Linked DNA regions of Anolis sagrei. The protein of the gene in region 1 interacts with the protein of each later gene in a biochemical or structural test. Links are inferred from orthologs where the notes say so. Each region holds a gene or a part of one and is shown on either strand. Other genes may lie near its edges.

Region 1 (8,191 bases):
AAGGACTTCGGATACACAGCCTTGGAAGGAGATGGACCCTCCTTCTCTGGAGATCTTGTATCTCTTGTGTTTTAATAGCGGTGATTTCACTGCATATTCCTGTATGGCAGGGGGGTGAATAAGATGGTACTTTGTTTCCTTCCAGCTCTGATTCCATGATTCTAATAGTAACAAGACCTAGTGCCATCTGTTTCATCATAGAAACACAATACACATCTGTACCTGTGGAATGCACTATAAAATCCATATTCCTAGGTGTTCTTGACATTACAGCAGTGAAAAGTCTAAATGAGCGCTTGAATCTGCATGATTTTTACATGGGAATGTCCTAAATCCACTATGAAAACCCACACCCAATTCTGTACAGTTAAGAAAACCTCCAGATCAGATAATTGGCATGATTGCCACTTGTCATCATAATTATGAAAGCACACTAGAATTAGATGGTTAATTGGGCATTTACATGCAAAATAGTAGAGGTATTTGCCTGTGATTTTTTTGTTGTTTTTTGAGGGTGCCGTAGGCATATCTGTTAATGATGTGGTTCAGAGGCACTGATGTGACGTGTGATTTGTCGTCATATGCTAATGTTGGAGTGTTGTTGTTTTCAAAAAGTCAGAATCCAAATATATAGAGATTCATATATGCAAACTGACATCATTGAAAGAGACAAAAATTCAAATATCTGATTTATTTCTCCACATTGCAAACACGGCTGGTGGGGACGAGAGACAGGGCCTCCTCGGCCATGGCCCCCCACCTGTGGAATGCACTTCCAAATGAGATACGATCGACCCCATCCCTCCTGGCTTTCAGGAAGAAATTGAAATCGTGGTTCTGGGACCAGGTTTTCAGACAGCAGACATAAATCAGCACTTTGGTTGGAAATGGATTGGCAAGACGATATCTATGAAGATACGGTTTTATTGTTTAATTAATGTTTTATGTCCTGTCGAAGGCTTTCATGGCTGGAATCACTGGGTTGTTGTAGGTTTTCCGGGCTATATGGCCATGTTTTAGAGGCATTTTCTCCTGACGTTTCGCCTGCATCTATGGCAAGCATCCTCAGAGGTAGTGAGGATGCTCTGAGGATGCTTGCCATAGATGCAGGCGAAACGTCAGGAGAAAATGCCTCTAGAACATGGCCATATAGCCCGGAAAACCTACAACAACCCAGTTTTATGTCCTGTTTTAATTAATGGTTTATGTATTTTATGTATTTTAATGGCTTAATTTTTTTTTTGTATGTAATGGTTATTGTATTTAATTGTTTATATGTAACGGCATCGAATCGCTGCCAGTGTAAGCTGTCCTGAGTCCCCCTTTGGGGGTAGAAAAGAGACAGGGCAGAAATACCGGAAATAAATAAATAAACAAATAAACTCAATTCTACTTCAATTCTCTATGGGATCCAGTTTTCCCTGAAAAGAGTGTCATTAACCCATTTGTATCTCTCTATATCTGTTGCCCCACAGCAATAATATCAGAAAACTTGTTTCTTAATTTAATTTACTGTTTGTGGCTTGCTTCCAAGAATCATAGGGACCTGACAGAAGTGCCTTGCATGTTTTTGTATCACAAAATGCTTCTGGATTCAAAATTTTAATGAATTAGTTTTTTTAAAAACCTTGATTAGTTGATAGCATTTTAACAGTTATATTCGTAGCCCTGTACTTGGGATCTTCCTTTTTATGCTACAAGGATCTGAGTATTTTGTGGTTCAGTTTATAGGTGCTGATATTGGTGTGTATTCCACATGACTATGATTCTGATACCTTGGACCACCATAAAAGTCAATAACAAACATGAGCAATTCAAGCCTGAAATCTCAAATTATTAAACTACAGCAATTGTATCTTGGACTTTGTGTGAAAAAGGAGTCGTTGGAAAAAAAATGATTAACTTAAGGAAAGTGGAAGGCAATAAGGAAAGAGAAAGACAACCTTAGAGATGGTGGTTGTTGTGCACCTTAAAGTTGCTTCCTCAAAGATCATATTGTAGATGGTTGTTGTTCCTGTGTGCCTTCTAATCATTTCTGACTCATTGTGACTCTGACACTATCACAGGGTATTCTGAGACTGAGAGTGTGTGACTGGCCCAAGGATATTAAGTTGGTTTCCTGGCTGAGCGGAAAGCTTAACCCTGATCTTGAGTCATAGTCCAGTGCAAAAACCACTGAGGCCCCTTCTACGCTGCCTTAAAAATCCAGATTATCTGCTTTGAATTTATTTATTTATTTACTTCATTGATATCCCGTCCTTCTCACTTCACGGGGAACTAAGAACTGGATTATATATCAGTGTAGACTCCTGTAATTCAGTTCAAATCAAATAATCTGGATTATCTGTTTTGATAATCTGGATTATATGGCAGTGTAGATCAATCCTAAATCACACTGGCTCCATATGGCCTGATTTAATCAAGGATGCCACCACCCTGAAATTGCTAGAACTGAATGGAGCTCATTGCCATATAAAATCCACATTATCTGCTTTGAAATTGATTATATGGCAGTGCAATTATTAAATATTGCAATTATTAAAACAAGATCTGTTAAAACAATTCCAAACTCTCTGAAGATCCAACTGCATTAATTTGCGCATTATTATTATTATTATTATTATTATGCAATAACAATCCATAGCAACCACTTACATTTGCTGTGAGATTGGGAATAGCCAAATTTATAAGACGTCCTTTTACCCTTGCTTAAACTTTAAAAGAGGCACCTTCCACACAGCTGTATAAAATCCACATCGAACTGGATTATATGGCAGTATGGACTCAGATAATCCAGTTCAAAGCAGATATTGTGGGATTTTCTGTCTTGATATTCTGGGTTATATGGCTGTGTGGAAGGGCCTTGAGTTTCCGTATGGAGAGAAAAAGCGAGATATTAATAAACATCATAATTGGGTTGCTGTGAGTTTTCCAGGGTGTATGGCCATGTTCCAGAAGCATTCTCTCCTGATGTTTCACCCACATCTATGGCAAGCATCCTCAGAGGTTGAGGGGTCTGTTGGAAACTAGGCAAGTGAGGTTTATATATCTGTGGAATGTCCAGGGTAGGAGAAAGAACTTTTGTCTGCTTGAGGCTAGTGTGAATGTTGCAATTGGCCACCTGATTGCAGCCTGGGGGAATCCTTTGTTGGGAGGTGTTTGTTGGTTATGGGAGTTCTGTGTTCCAAGTTTGGTTCGATTCCATTGTTGGTGGAATTCAGAGTGCTTTCTGATCATAAGTGAACTATAAATCCCAGCAACCACAACTCCCAAATAATTTATTTATTTGATGCACTTATTATCCCAAATAACAAAACAATCCCCCCCAACCCCACCAGTATTCAAATATGGGAGTATTGGATATTTGTGCCAAATTTGGTCCAGTGTATGAAAATACATCCTGCATATCAGATATTTACATGACGATTCATAATAGTAGCAAAATGACAGTTATGAAGTAGCAACGAAAATGTTATGGTTGGGGGTCATCATATGAGGAACTGTATTAAAGGGTCATTGCATTAGCAAGGTTGAGAACCATTGCATTGGAGCAGGGGTCCTCAAACCTTTTAAACAGAGGGCCAGGTCACAGTCCGTCAAACTGTTAAAGGGCCGGATTATAATTTTTTTTAAAAAAATGAATGAATTCCTATGCACACTGCACAGATCTTATTTGTGGTGCAAAAAACACCTAAGACAATACAATAATTAAAATGAAGAACAATTTTAACAAATATAAACCTATTAGTATTTCAATGGGAAGTGTGGGCCTGATTTTGGCTGATGAGATAGGATTGTTGTTGTTGTTGTTCGCTTTCAACTCGATCCAGACTTAGGTTGACCCTGTGTGAGGACCGGGTAAATGACCTTGGAAGGCCGGATCTGGTCCCCGGGGCCTTAGTTTGAGGAACCCTGCATTAGAGCATGGATCCACTTTAAATCCAGTTTCTGCCCCCTTCAGAATTTTGGGGCTTATAGTTTAGGGAGGGGCCTTTAAACTGCTCAGCCAGGCAAGTCCTGGCCCTCACCAAAACTACAAACCCCAGAATTCTGCAGGAGACAGACACTGGATTTAAATTGGATCCATGCTCTAGGTCAGTGTTTCTCAACCTAGGAATTGGGACCCCTGAGGGGGTTGCGAGGGGGTGTCAGAAGGATCGCCAAAGACCATAAGAAAGCACAATATTTTCTGATGGTCATGGGGATTCCATGTGGGAAGTTTGAGCCAATTCTATCATTGGTGGAGTTCAGAATGTTCTTTGATTGTAATGAACTATAAATCCCAGCAACTACAACTCCCAAATGGCAAGATCTATTTTCCCCAGACTCCACCAGTGTTCACATTTGGGCATATTGAGTATTTGTGCTAAGTTTTGTCCAGATCCACCATCACATGAGTCCACAGTGCCATTTGGATATAGGTGAACTACAACTCCCAAACTCAAGATAAATGCCCATCAAATCCTTCCAGTGTTTTCCATTGGTCATGGGAGCCAAGTTTGGTTCAAATCCATCTCTGGTGGAGTTCAGAATGCTCTTTGATTAGAAGTGAACTATAAATCCCAGCAACTACAACTCCCAAATTACAAAATCAATCCTCCCCCAAACCCACTAGCGTTCACATTCGGGTGTATTGGGTATTTGTGCCCAGTTTGGTCCAGTGAATGAAAATGCATCCTGCATATCAGATATTTACATTATGATTTATAACAGTAGTAAAATGACTGTTATGGAGTAGCAATGAAAACAATATTATGGTTGGGTCGTCACCACAACATGAGGGACTGTATCAATTGGTCACGGCATTAGGAAGGTTGAGAACCACTGCTCTAGGTCTTGAGCAAGGTTCCACTTTAAATCCAGTTTCTGCCCGCTGCAGAATTTTGGGGCTTATAGTTTAGGGAGGGGACTTTAAACTGCTCAGCCAGGCAGGTCCTGGCCCTCACCAAAACTACAAACCCCAGAATTCTGCAGGAGGCAGACACTGGATTTAAAGTGCTCTAGTGTGATGAGGCTGTGCAGTTTGACACCTCTTGAACTGCCAGGCTGAGTGCTAAAGGATCCTGGGAGTCGTAGTTGGGTGAGGCATGGAACTACAACTCACAGGGAGCCATAGCACTGCGCCCTGGCAGTTAAAGCGGCGTCAAAGAGGGGGAAACCGACTGGGCCGGCGTTTCAGAAAGCTAGGCCGCAACCCGCGCCAGAGAGAGCAGGAGAAGGCGCTTTCCTCTCAGCTGCTCGTCCCCCCCTCTCTCTCTGTCTCTCCTTTTCCTTCTCAGGGAGGAGGAGGAGACCGGAAAGGCAAGCGCGGAAGGGGAGGCCAAGGCGGCGGCGGGGCCCTGCGAGGAAGAAGAAGACGCCTTCTCCGTTTCCGCGGCTCCCCTCCCGCGCCGCGCCTCTTGGTTTCGCCCGCGCCTCGCGCCCTGCCATGTTGGATTGAGCCGGGGACAAGTTAGAAGTTTAAGGAAGGAAGGCAGGGAGGAGGAGAGGGGGAAAGAGAGGCCGAGAGCAGAGGGGAGCCTCCTTCCTCTTCCTTTTCCTCCCTCCCTTCCTGGGCCACTGCTCTCCATGCCCCTCTGAGGGGCCTGCCTGCCTGCCTTCCTGCCTTCCTTCCCTCTCCGGCCTGGCCCCGCCATGAGCAGCAACAACAACGCCACGCAGCCCCCGCCGCCGCGGAGGGTCACCAACGTGGGCTCCATGCTGCTCACCCCGCAGGAGAATGAGAGCCTCTTCGGCTTCCTGGGCAAGAAATGCGTGGTGAGTGAAGGAGGGAGGGAGGGCCGCTGCGAGGCCTGCTCTGGCGGGAGGCAGACAGGGCCCTGCGCCAAGTGACAGCCCAGGGGGGCTGAGGCGGAAGTGGCCCCCTGGGGCGGGCGAGGGGCGGGCTGCGGCCTCTGAGGGGGCGCCTTGAAACTCCCCCCTGAGGCGCTTCCGTGACCAGGAGGACCTTCACCAGGGGAAACTTGAAGCCCTCCTCTGAGGTACTTCTGTCACTAGAAGGACCCCCAAAGGGGGGCTTTTTGAAACTCCCCTTTGAGACACTTCCATAACCAGGAAGACCTTCGAAACTCGCCTCTCATGTACTTTCATAACCAGAAAGACCTTCACCAGGGGAGACCTGAAGCTCTCCTTAAAGGCACATTAGAAGGGCTTCCAAAGGGGGGCTGTTTGAAACTCCCCTCTGAAGCACTTCCATAACCAGGAAGAACCTTTAAAGGGGGAGACTTGAAGCTCTCCTTATAGGCACATCTGTAACTAGAAGGACTTCCAAAGGGGGGTTATTCAAAACTCGCCTCTCATGTACTTTCATAACCAGGAAGACCTTCAAAAAGGGAGACTTGATGCTCTCCTCTGAGGTACACCTGTTACTAGAAGGACCTCCAAAGGGGGGGGGGGGTATTCGAAACCCGCCTCTCATGTACTTTCATAACCAGGAAGACCTTCAAAGTGGGAGACTTGAAGCTTTCCTCTGAGGTACTTCTGTTATTAGAAGGACCTCCAAAGGGGGGCTATTTGAAACTCCCCTTTGAGACAATTCCATATCCAGGAAGACTTTCAAAGGGGTAGACTCGAAGCTCTCCTTAGAGGCACATCTGTAACTAGAAGGACTTCCAAAAGGAGGTTATTCGAAACACGCCTCTCACATACTTTCATTACCAGGAAGACCTTCAAAAGGGGAGACTTAGAGGCATTTCTTTTCCCCAGGAAGTCTTTCAAAGGGAGGATTTGAAGCTCTCATCTGAGGCAACTTTGGGTCCCGTGAAGGAGAAAAGCAGGATATAAATAAATATTTATTATTATTTAATATTATGACTTCCATGACCAGGAGGATCTTCAGAAGGAGAAACTTGAAACTCCCCTCTAAGATATTTCCATAACCAGGAAGACCTTCAAAAGGGAGCTATTTGAAACTCCCCTCTAAGGTATTTCCATGACCAGGAGGATCTTCAAAAGGGGAGGCTTGAAGCTGTCCTCTGAGGCACTTATATTACTAGGAGGATCTTCAAAGGGGGCTATGTGAAACTCCCCTCTAAGGTACTTCCATGACTAGGAAGACCTTGAAAAGGAGAGGTTTGAAGCTCCCCTCTGAGGCTTTTATTTTTCCCAGGAAGACTTTCAAAAGGGGAGACTTGAAGCTCTCTTCTAAGGTACTTCCCTGACTAGAAGGATCTTCAGAAGGGAAGATTTGAAGCTGTCCTCTAAGGCACTTCTATTACTAGGAGGACCTTCAAAAGGGGGCTATTTGAAACCCCTCTGAGGCACTTCCATGACCAGGAAAACCTTCAAAGGAGGAGACTTGGAGCTCTCCTTAGAGGCACTTCTGTTACTAGAAAGACCTCCAAAGGGGGTTATTTGAAATTTCAAAAGACCTTCAAAAGGGGAGACTTGAAGCTCTCCTCTAAGGCCTTTTTTTTTTCCCCAGGAAGACTTTCAAAAAGGGAGACTTGAAACTACTCTAATGTACTTTTATTACCAGGAGGACCTCCAAAGGGGGCCTACTTCAGGCTCCCCCCGAAACACTTCCATTACCAAGAAGACCTCAGAAGGGGAGACTTGAATCTCCCCTCTAAGGAACTTCCATGTCCAGGAAGACATTCAAAGGGGAGGCCTAAAGCTGTCCTCTGAGGCACCTCTATTATCTGAAGGACCTCCAAAGGGGGGGGGGGGTATTTGAAGCTCCCCTCTGAAGCATTTCTGTTGCCAGGAAGACCTTCATTTGGGGAAACTTGAAGCTCCCCTCAGAGGCACCTCCATTACCGGGAGTACTTTCAACAGGGGGTATTTGAAACTCTTCTCTGAGGCTCTTCTGTTGCCAGGAAAATTGTAGCCTATGGCCCTTAAAAGGGGCAACATGAGATACTGCCATTGCCAGGAAGACCCCTATGGCGCTTGTTCCAGAGGCTGTGATATGATGTTTGTGGAGAACTAGAATTTTCACAGTTTGGGGAAGGTCCAAACAAGTCTCAGCTTTTCATCTCCCTGGGGTTCCCTTTGTGGGCGTCACAGAGAGGGAAAAGCAAGCAAACCAGAGCACCCCCGTCCCCCTGCTGAGCCTTTCTTTCCCACACAGCAGCTACTGGCTTCATTTTATTTTTCTTGCTCCTGGTGGGAGTGGGAATGGGAAACAAGCCAGGAGAGAAAAGGGCCCTACTGAGAACATACTCAGTAGAGTTTGTTGGGGAACAGGAGA
Region 2 (7,555 bases), on another chromosome or scaffold:
CAAATGTCAAGGTCTATATTCCCCAAACTCCACCAGGGTCCACATTTGGGGATATTGAGTTTTTCTGCCAAGTTTGGTCCAGATCCATCATTGTTCGAGTGCACAGTGCTCTGTGTGCCAAGTTTGGCCCAATTCCATCCTTGGTGGAGAACAGAATGCTCTTTGATTGTAGGTGAACTATAAATCCCAGCAACTGCAACTCCCAAATGTCAAGATACTATTTCCCCCAAACTCCACCAGCGTTCACGTTTGAGCATATTGAGTATTTGTGTAGAGTTTGGTCCAAATCCATAATTGTTTGAGTCCACAGTGATCTCTGGATGTAGGTGAACTACAACTCCAAAACTCAAGGTCAATGTCCAGCTAACCCTTCCAGTGTTTTCTGTTGTTCATGGGAGTTCTGTGTGCCAAGTTTGGTTCAATTCCATCATTGGTGGAGTTCAGAATGCTCTTTGATTGGAGGTGAACTATAAATCCCAGCAACTACAATTCCCAAATGCCAAAATCAATCCTCTCCACAACCCCACCAGTATGCAAATTTGGTTGTATGATTGGGTATTTGTGCCCAGTTTGGTCCAGTGAATGCAAATATATCCTGCATGTAAGATATTTACATGACAATTCAGAACAGGAGCAAAATTCCAGTTATGAAGTAGCAGCAAAAAAAAATTGATGGTTGGGGTCACCACAACATAAGAAACCGCATTAAGGGGTCGTGGCATTAGGAAGGTTGAGAAACACTGAATTAGGAAATGGCATTGATAACCCAGGAGCAAAATTTGCATTGCAATGATGGAGGAGTTGCACATGCTGCAGAGATGCATCAGGCCAGGATCTTTGCAATGCTTTGCAATGCTTGCAACATCCTTTCTCTCTCCCCCACCTCTTCCTTTCAAGGTTTCTCAATGGAACAATGGCTTCTTTTGGGGGGGGGTGTCTGAAGGTCGAAAGGTGGGGCCCACTTCCTGCCTCCCTCCTCCATTCACCACTTCCTGAATCCTCACCCACTTTTGTGAGTCACCTGGCCACACAGGCAAGGCTCAGCAAGGCTTGCAGCTGCTTTGCTGCACCTTCTGCATTCATTCTCAGCCAGATAGAGACAGATCTATATATATATAAATGTCATGTTCATTTGTGAGATTTATTTATTTATCGAGTCAGGGGCAACCAGACCATTGTATTACATTTCTAACAGAACAAAACAAACAAACAGATTTAAAAAACACAAATTTTGCAAACTTGGTAGTTGATTAAATGTCCTTTGACCAGTATCTGGGTACTTGGAGTGCTTCTGGTGTTGCTGCAAGAAGGTCCTCCTTTGTGCATCATGTGGCAGGGCTCAGGGTGCATTGCAGCAGGTGGTCAGTGGTTTGCTCTTCTCCACACTCGCATGTCGAGGATTCCACTTTGTGGCCCCATTTCTTGAGGTTGGCTCTGCATCTCGTGGGGCCAGAGCGCAGTCCATTCAGCGCCTTCCAAGTCGCCCAGTCTTCTGTGTGTCCAGGGGGGAGTCTCTCATTTGGTATCAGCCATGGGTTTGAGCCTGCCACTTTTGGACTCTCGCTTGCTGAGGTGCTCCTACGACTGTTTCTGTAGATCTTAGGAAGCTATTTCTTGATTTAAGTTGTTGACGTGCTGGCTGATACCCAAACAGGGGATGAGCTGGAGATGTCTCTGCCTTGGTCCTTTCACTATTGGCTGCCACTTCCCGGCGGATGTCAGGTGGTGCGATACCGGCTAAGCAGTGTAATTTCTCCAGTGGAGTAGGGCGCAGACACCCCGTGATAATGCGGCATGTCTCATTAAGAGCCACATCCACTGTTTTAGCGTGGTGAGATGTGTTCCACACTGGGCATGCATACTCAGCAGCAGAGTAGCATAGCGCAAGGGCAGATGTCTTCACTGTGTCTGGTTGTGATCCCCAGGTTGTGCCAGTCAGCTTTCGTATGATATTGTTTCTGGCATCCACTTTTTGCTTGATGTTCAGGCAGTGCTTCTTGTAGGTCAGAGCACGGTCCAGAGTGACTCCCAGGTATTTGGGTGCACTGCAATGCTCCAGTGGGATTCCTTCCCACGAAATGATCCTCAGAGCTCGGGATGCTTGTCTGTTCTTGAGATGAAAGGCACATGTCTGTGTTTTAGATGGGTTGGGGATCAGCTGGTTTTCCCTGTAATAGGCAGTAAGAGCATCTTGTGCTTCGGAGAGCTTCTGTTCTACCATCTCAAAGCTCCCTGCTTGAGTGGTGATGGCACGATCATCAGCATAGATGAAACTCTCTGTCTCTTCTGGCAGTGGCTGGTCATTTGTGTAGATGTTGAACATGGATGGAGCGAGCACGCTCCCCTGAGGCAGGCCGTTCTTCTGTTTCCGCCATCTGCTTCTCTGGCCCTGGAACTCAACAAAAAAGCTCCTGTTTTGTAGCAGGTTTCCTATGAAGCGGGTGAGACGGTAATATTATTAGTAATATTACATGTAATATAGATATATAATTATAATATCATATTATTACTATATTGCATTACATTATAATATTATAAATATTATATGTATATACGATATATTATATTATTAGCACAGGAGACACACATACAATTTTAGGGGATTGGGGAAATTAGTTTTAGTGGGTGTATATAAGTCTTGCATTGGAAAATAAGAATTTTGGGAGTTGGAGGGGACCCCAAGGGACATCCAGTCCAACCCTCTCTTGCAAAGCAGGAGGCAGAATTACTATTATATTATTACCCATTAATATTATGATTAGACTCATAGAGTTGGAAGGGCCTCTCTCCAAAGGCCATCCAGTCCAACCCTCTTTTGCAAGGACACCATCAGATCCCTCCCAACAGATGGCCACTCAGCCTCTGCACCATAACAATAAAAAGCAAAGGAATGCCCTCCTCAAGTCCTTAAAGCAGGCATGGGCCAATTTGGGGGATTCCTTCAGGTTTTTTGGACTTCAACAGATGAGGGTGAAAAGGGAAAAGCCTGAGACTGTGAGGAATTCTGGGAGTTGAAGTCCCAAACGCGCCCCTAGCGGCCACTGGAGGTGGTGCCGCGGGAGAGGACAGCGCGTGTGCGCCTGCGCAAGAAGGAAGCCGCCTCGCCTCGCTTTTTTCACTGAGGGCGTTCTGCGCCTGCGCGAACAAGGAAGCAAGCCCGCCTTTTCTGTGCCTCTGCGCGGATAGGAAGGAGCCTCGCCCTTAACCGAAGGGACGCCAAAGCGGCGTTCTGCGCTTGCGCGGGGAGGAAGGCACCCCGCCCTCGCCTTTTTCATTCTGCGCTTGCGCAGGGGGAAAAGTCCCGTCCTTAACCCAAGGAGCGCATTCTGCGCCTGCGCGAGGAGGAAAGAAACTCCGCCCTTAAGCGCAAGAGAGCGTCGTGCGCCTGCGCAGAGAGGAAGAAGCCCCGCCCCCGCGTTGGAAAGAAAGCGAGAGGGCGGCATTTTGCGCTTGCGCAGAAAGAAAGCCGCCTTATCTCTTAACTGACGGAGTGTTCTGCGCCTGCGCGGGGAGGAAAGCTTCCCCATACTTAAGCTAAGGAAGGCGTTCTGCGCCTGCGCGGGGGAAAAAAGAGCCCTGCCCTCGCCTTGGAAAAAAAGCGGCATTTTGCGCCTGCGCAGAAAGAAAGCCGCCCCACTCTTCTAACTGACGGAGCGTTCTGCGCCTGCGCGGGAAGGAAAGCCTCCCTAACTGTAAGCGAAGGAAGGCGTTTTGCGCCTGCGCGGGGGAGAAAAAAGAGCCCCGCCCTCGCCTTTTTCTTTTAACTGACGGAGCGCGAGGACGGAGTTCTGCGCCTGCGCGAGGAGCAAAGAGCCCGGCCCTGAGACCAAGGAGCGCGTTCTGCGCCTGCGCGGGTGGGGAAAGAACCCCGCCTTTGCCTTTTCGTTTCACTAAAGGAGCGTTCTGCGCCTGCGCGGGGAGGAAAGATTTCCTCTACTCTTCCTTAGGCCAAAGGGGGGCGCAGAGGGAAGAAACCCCGCCCCCAATTTGGAAGACGAGCGCGAGGGCGGAGTTCTGCGCCTGCGCGGGAAGGAAAGATTTCTCCTTTGAACCAAAGGGGGGCGCAGAGGGAAGAAACCCCGCCCCCGCTTTGGAAGAAGAGCGCGAGGGCGGAGTTCTGCGCCTGCGCGGGGAGGAAAGCTTCCCCATCCTTAAGCGAAGGAGGGCGTTCTGCGCCTGCGCGGGGAGTTAAGCTTTCTCCTTTGAGCCAAAGGGGGGCGCAAGAGGGAAGAAACCCCGCCCCCGCTTTGGAAGAAGAGCGCGAGGGCGGAGTTCTGCGCCTGCGCGGGGAGGAAAGATTTCTCCCTTGAGCCAAAGGGGGGCGCAGAGGGCGGAGTTCTGCGCCTGCGCGGGGAGCAACGAGCCCGGCCTTGAGGCGAAATTGCGCGTAGTGCGCCTGCGCGGGGAGGGATAGGCCCCGCCCCCTTCCCTTCCCCTCAGTCCTTCTTCTGCCGCCCTCGCGCCCGCCCGGCCTGAGTCCCGCTCCCGCCGCGCCCTGAGGAGGAGCTCCCGAGCCCGGCTCCTGAGGCAGAGGCAGGCCGAGAAGGAAGGAAACAAGGCAGGCAGGAGCGCCCTCCTCTCGTCTCCTCTCCTCCGCGTGCCTCTTGGCTTGACTTCCGCCGGGCAGGCCTCCCTCGCCTTTCCCTCAGCGCGGGCCATGAGCGGCTGGAGCTGCTACATCGACAGCCTGATGGCGGACGACACGTGCCAGGACGCGGCCATCGTGGGATACAAGGAGGCGCCCTCCGTCTGGGCCTCCGCCCCCGGAAAGACCTTCGCCTCCATCACGGTAAGTACCCCAAAAACCCCTCAGGCCTCGCGGACTACAACTCCCATCATTCCTAGCGGCCTCAGGCCCTTTCCTTCCCCCCCCACAGCCGGGACTACAACTCCCATCATTCCTAGCGGCCTCAGGCCCCTTCCTTTTCCCCCACAGCCGCTTAAGCGGCTGTGGGGGGAAAAGGAAAGGGCCTGAGGCCGCTAGGAATGATAGGAGTTGTAGTCCCGGCTGTGGGGGGGAAAAGAAAAGGGCCTGAGGCCGCTAGGAATGATGGGAGTTGTAGTCCCACGCGGCTGGAGGGCGCCTCCAAGCAGAAGAGGAAGGAAGTGGCTCTGAGGCGAAGAAAGAGACCGTTAGGAGGGTCAGGAATGTGACCCGGAAGTAGCCCCCCCTCTCCTTCCTTACTTCCTTCCTTGCCACACCCCAAAGGTCACAACCCCCCCCCTTTTTTTTTTGAAAATTTAGGGCCAAGGAAGGAAAGAATAAGAATAGCAACCAAACAAACCAAAACAACACATAAATAACGTCAATTCGAACTTAATTGAAAAGATCAGTTAGAAAAAAATAAAATATATATTTTTAGGGGGGGTCTTTGGACCAAGGAAGAAATAATAATAATAATAATAATAATAATACCAATAATAATAGATACTATTACTCACCGCAAAGTGAGCAACCATAAATAGGAACTTAGCTGAAAAGAGCGGCCAGAAAAAATATTAAATATATTTTTAGGGGGGGGATCTTTGGGCCAAGGAAGAAAAAATAATACCAATAATAGTAGTTACTATTACTCATGCCAAAGTGAGCAAACAAACCAAAACAATACAGAAATAACATCCATTCGAACTTAGCTGAAATCCATTTAAATGTAACTGAAAAGAGAGGTCAGAAAAAAATTAAAATATATATATTTGGGAGGGGGGGGGTCTTTGGGCCAAGGATGAAAAATAATAATAATACCAATAATAATAGTTACTATTACTCAGACCAAAGTGAGCAAACAAACAAAAACAATATATAAATAACATCCATATGAACTTAACTGAAAAAAGCGGTCTTTGGGCCAAGGAAGAAAAAATAATACCAATAATGCCAGTAATAATAGTTACTATTATTACAAACAAACCAAAGCAATACATAAATAATATCCATTAGAACTTAACTGAAAAGAGTGGTCAGAAAAAAATAAATTATGTTTGGGGTTTGGGCCAAGGAAGAAAAGAATACGGTTAATAACAATAGTTACTATTGGGCCAAAGTGAGCAACCAAACAAACCAAAACAATACATAAATAACATCCATAGGAAGGGTGACCAAAAAAATAAATAAATTCAAAACATCAATATAGACTTAATTTAAAAGGGCGGCCAAAAAAATTCAAAACATAAATAACATCCATATAAAGTTAAGAAAGGAAAGAATAGGGATAATAAGAAGAATAGTTACTATTACTCACGCCAAAGTGAGCAACCAAACAAATCAAAACATAAATAACATTAATAGGAGGGGCGACCAAAAAAAATAAATTCAAAACATAAATAACATCCATATACACTTTATTTTAAAAGGCAGCCAAAAAAATATAAAAAACACAACTAATATCCATATAAACTTAAGGAAGGAAAGAATAGGGATTATATATATATATATATATATATATATAATATTGTATATTACAAGTAATATTACTAATAATATTACAATATAATTGTATAGTACAATATAGTGATGTATAGCGCTGATATTGTACTGTGCTAATGGTATAATGTATTGTGTGTGTGTGTATATATATATATATATATATATATCTTGTAAGCCGCTCTGAGCCCCCTTCGGAGCGAGAAGGACAGCATATAAATGCTGCAAATAAAATAAATAAATATTACTAACGCCATTGTCGGCAACAAAACACATCCAAACAACACATAGATAACATCCATAGGAATTTAACATAGAAGAACGACCAAAAAAATTATAAAAACACATAAATAACATCTATATAAACTTAATGAAGTTAACTTAAAAGGGCGGCCAATTTTTTTTTCAAAACAACACATAAATAATATCAATATACACTTAATTTAAAAGGGCAGCCAAAAGAAATCATAATTTTCCCCCTATTCAAATCACATCAGAAGGATCTCGAGAAATTATACTAAAAGTACAGAATGGGGAGTGATGTCATGGAAAGGAATGAGGAAACAAGAAGCCCCTCCTCTTTCAAGGGACCGAAAAGGGGGGGGTCCTGGCTCCCCCCCCCACGAAGGCCTTCTTGCCCCCTCCCCCCCTCCCCAAAGTGCCACGTCATACTTCCTTTCCTGTTTGGGAGGGGAGAGTTCCTTGGAGGCGAAGAGAAAGGACATTCACCCCCTCCCCCCCCCAAAAAACCGGAAATCCCCCTCCCACTTGCTGTTTCCGCCGCAGAAGGGGATTGTGGGCCTTGCTCTCTCTCCCCCCCCCCACAACTCCCCAAAAAGGCATTTCTGCCAGAATGGCGCCCTCCTCTCCTTAAAGGGGAAGGACTACAACACCCAGCATCCCCTCCAAGAAGCCTGTCTCTAGTTCCTTTTTGAAGGGGGGGGGGGTCTTATTCTTCCCTCCTCCAAAAGATCTTTGGTGCATCGAAAGGGTCCAAAGATGGGGTGGGGCTGCTTCTGCTTTGGGGAGAGGAGGGGGGGGGGGGCTTGGCATGCCTTTACTCAAGGAGAGCTCACATCTTAGGAAGCCCTTCTTTCTTTCATTCCTGCCCAGGCTTTGTGGTTTTTGCCCCCC

The links.
Region 2: the proteins of WASL (region 1) and PFN1 form a complex in vitro, tested with the Homo sapiens proteins (2 studies listed by BioGRID). The link is inferred for Anolis sagrei from reciprocal best matches to the Homo sapiens genes WASL and PFN1.

Annotation. Positions count from the first base shown.
Region 1 is NC_090025.1:127,454,981-127,463,171, forward strand, and holds the start of WASL (actin nucleation-promoting factor WASL), read left to right. Parts: upstream 1-4,988; 5' UTR 4,989-5,634; coding exon 5,635-5,757; intron 5,758-8,191. UniProt on the Homo sapiens protein: Regulates actin polymerization by stimulating the actin-nucleating activity of the Arp2/3 complex. Involved in various processes, such as mitosis and cytokinesis, via its role in the regulation of actin polymerization.
Region 2 is NC_090026.1:1,330,264-1,337,818, reverse strand, and holds the start of PFN1 (profilin-1), read left to right. Parts: upstream 1-4,437; 5' UTR 4,438-4,657; coding exon 4,658-4,789; intron 4,790-7,555. UniProt on the Homo sapiens protein: Binds to actin and affects the structure of the cytoskeleton. At high concentrations, profilin prevents the polymerization of actin, whereas it enhances it at low concentrations. By binding to PIP2, it inhibits the formation of IP3 and DG.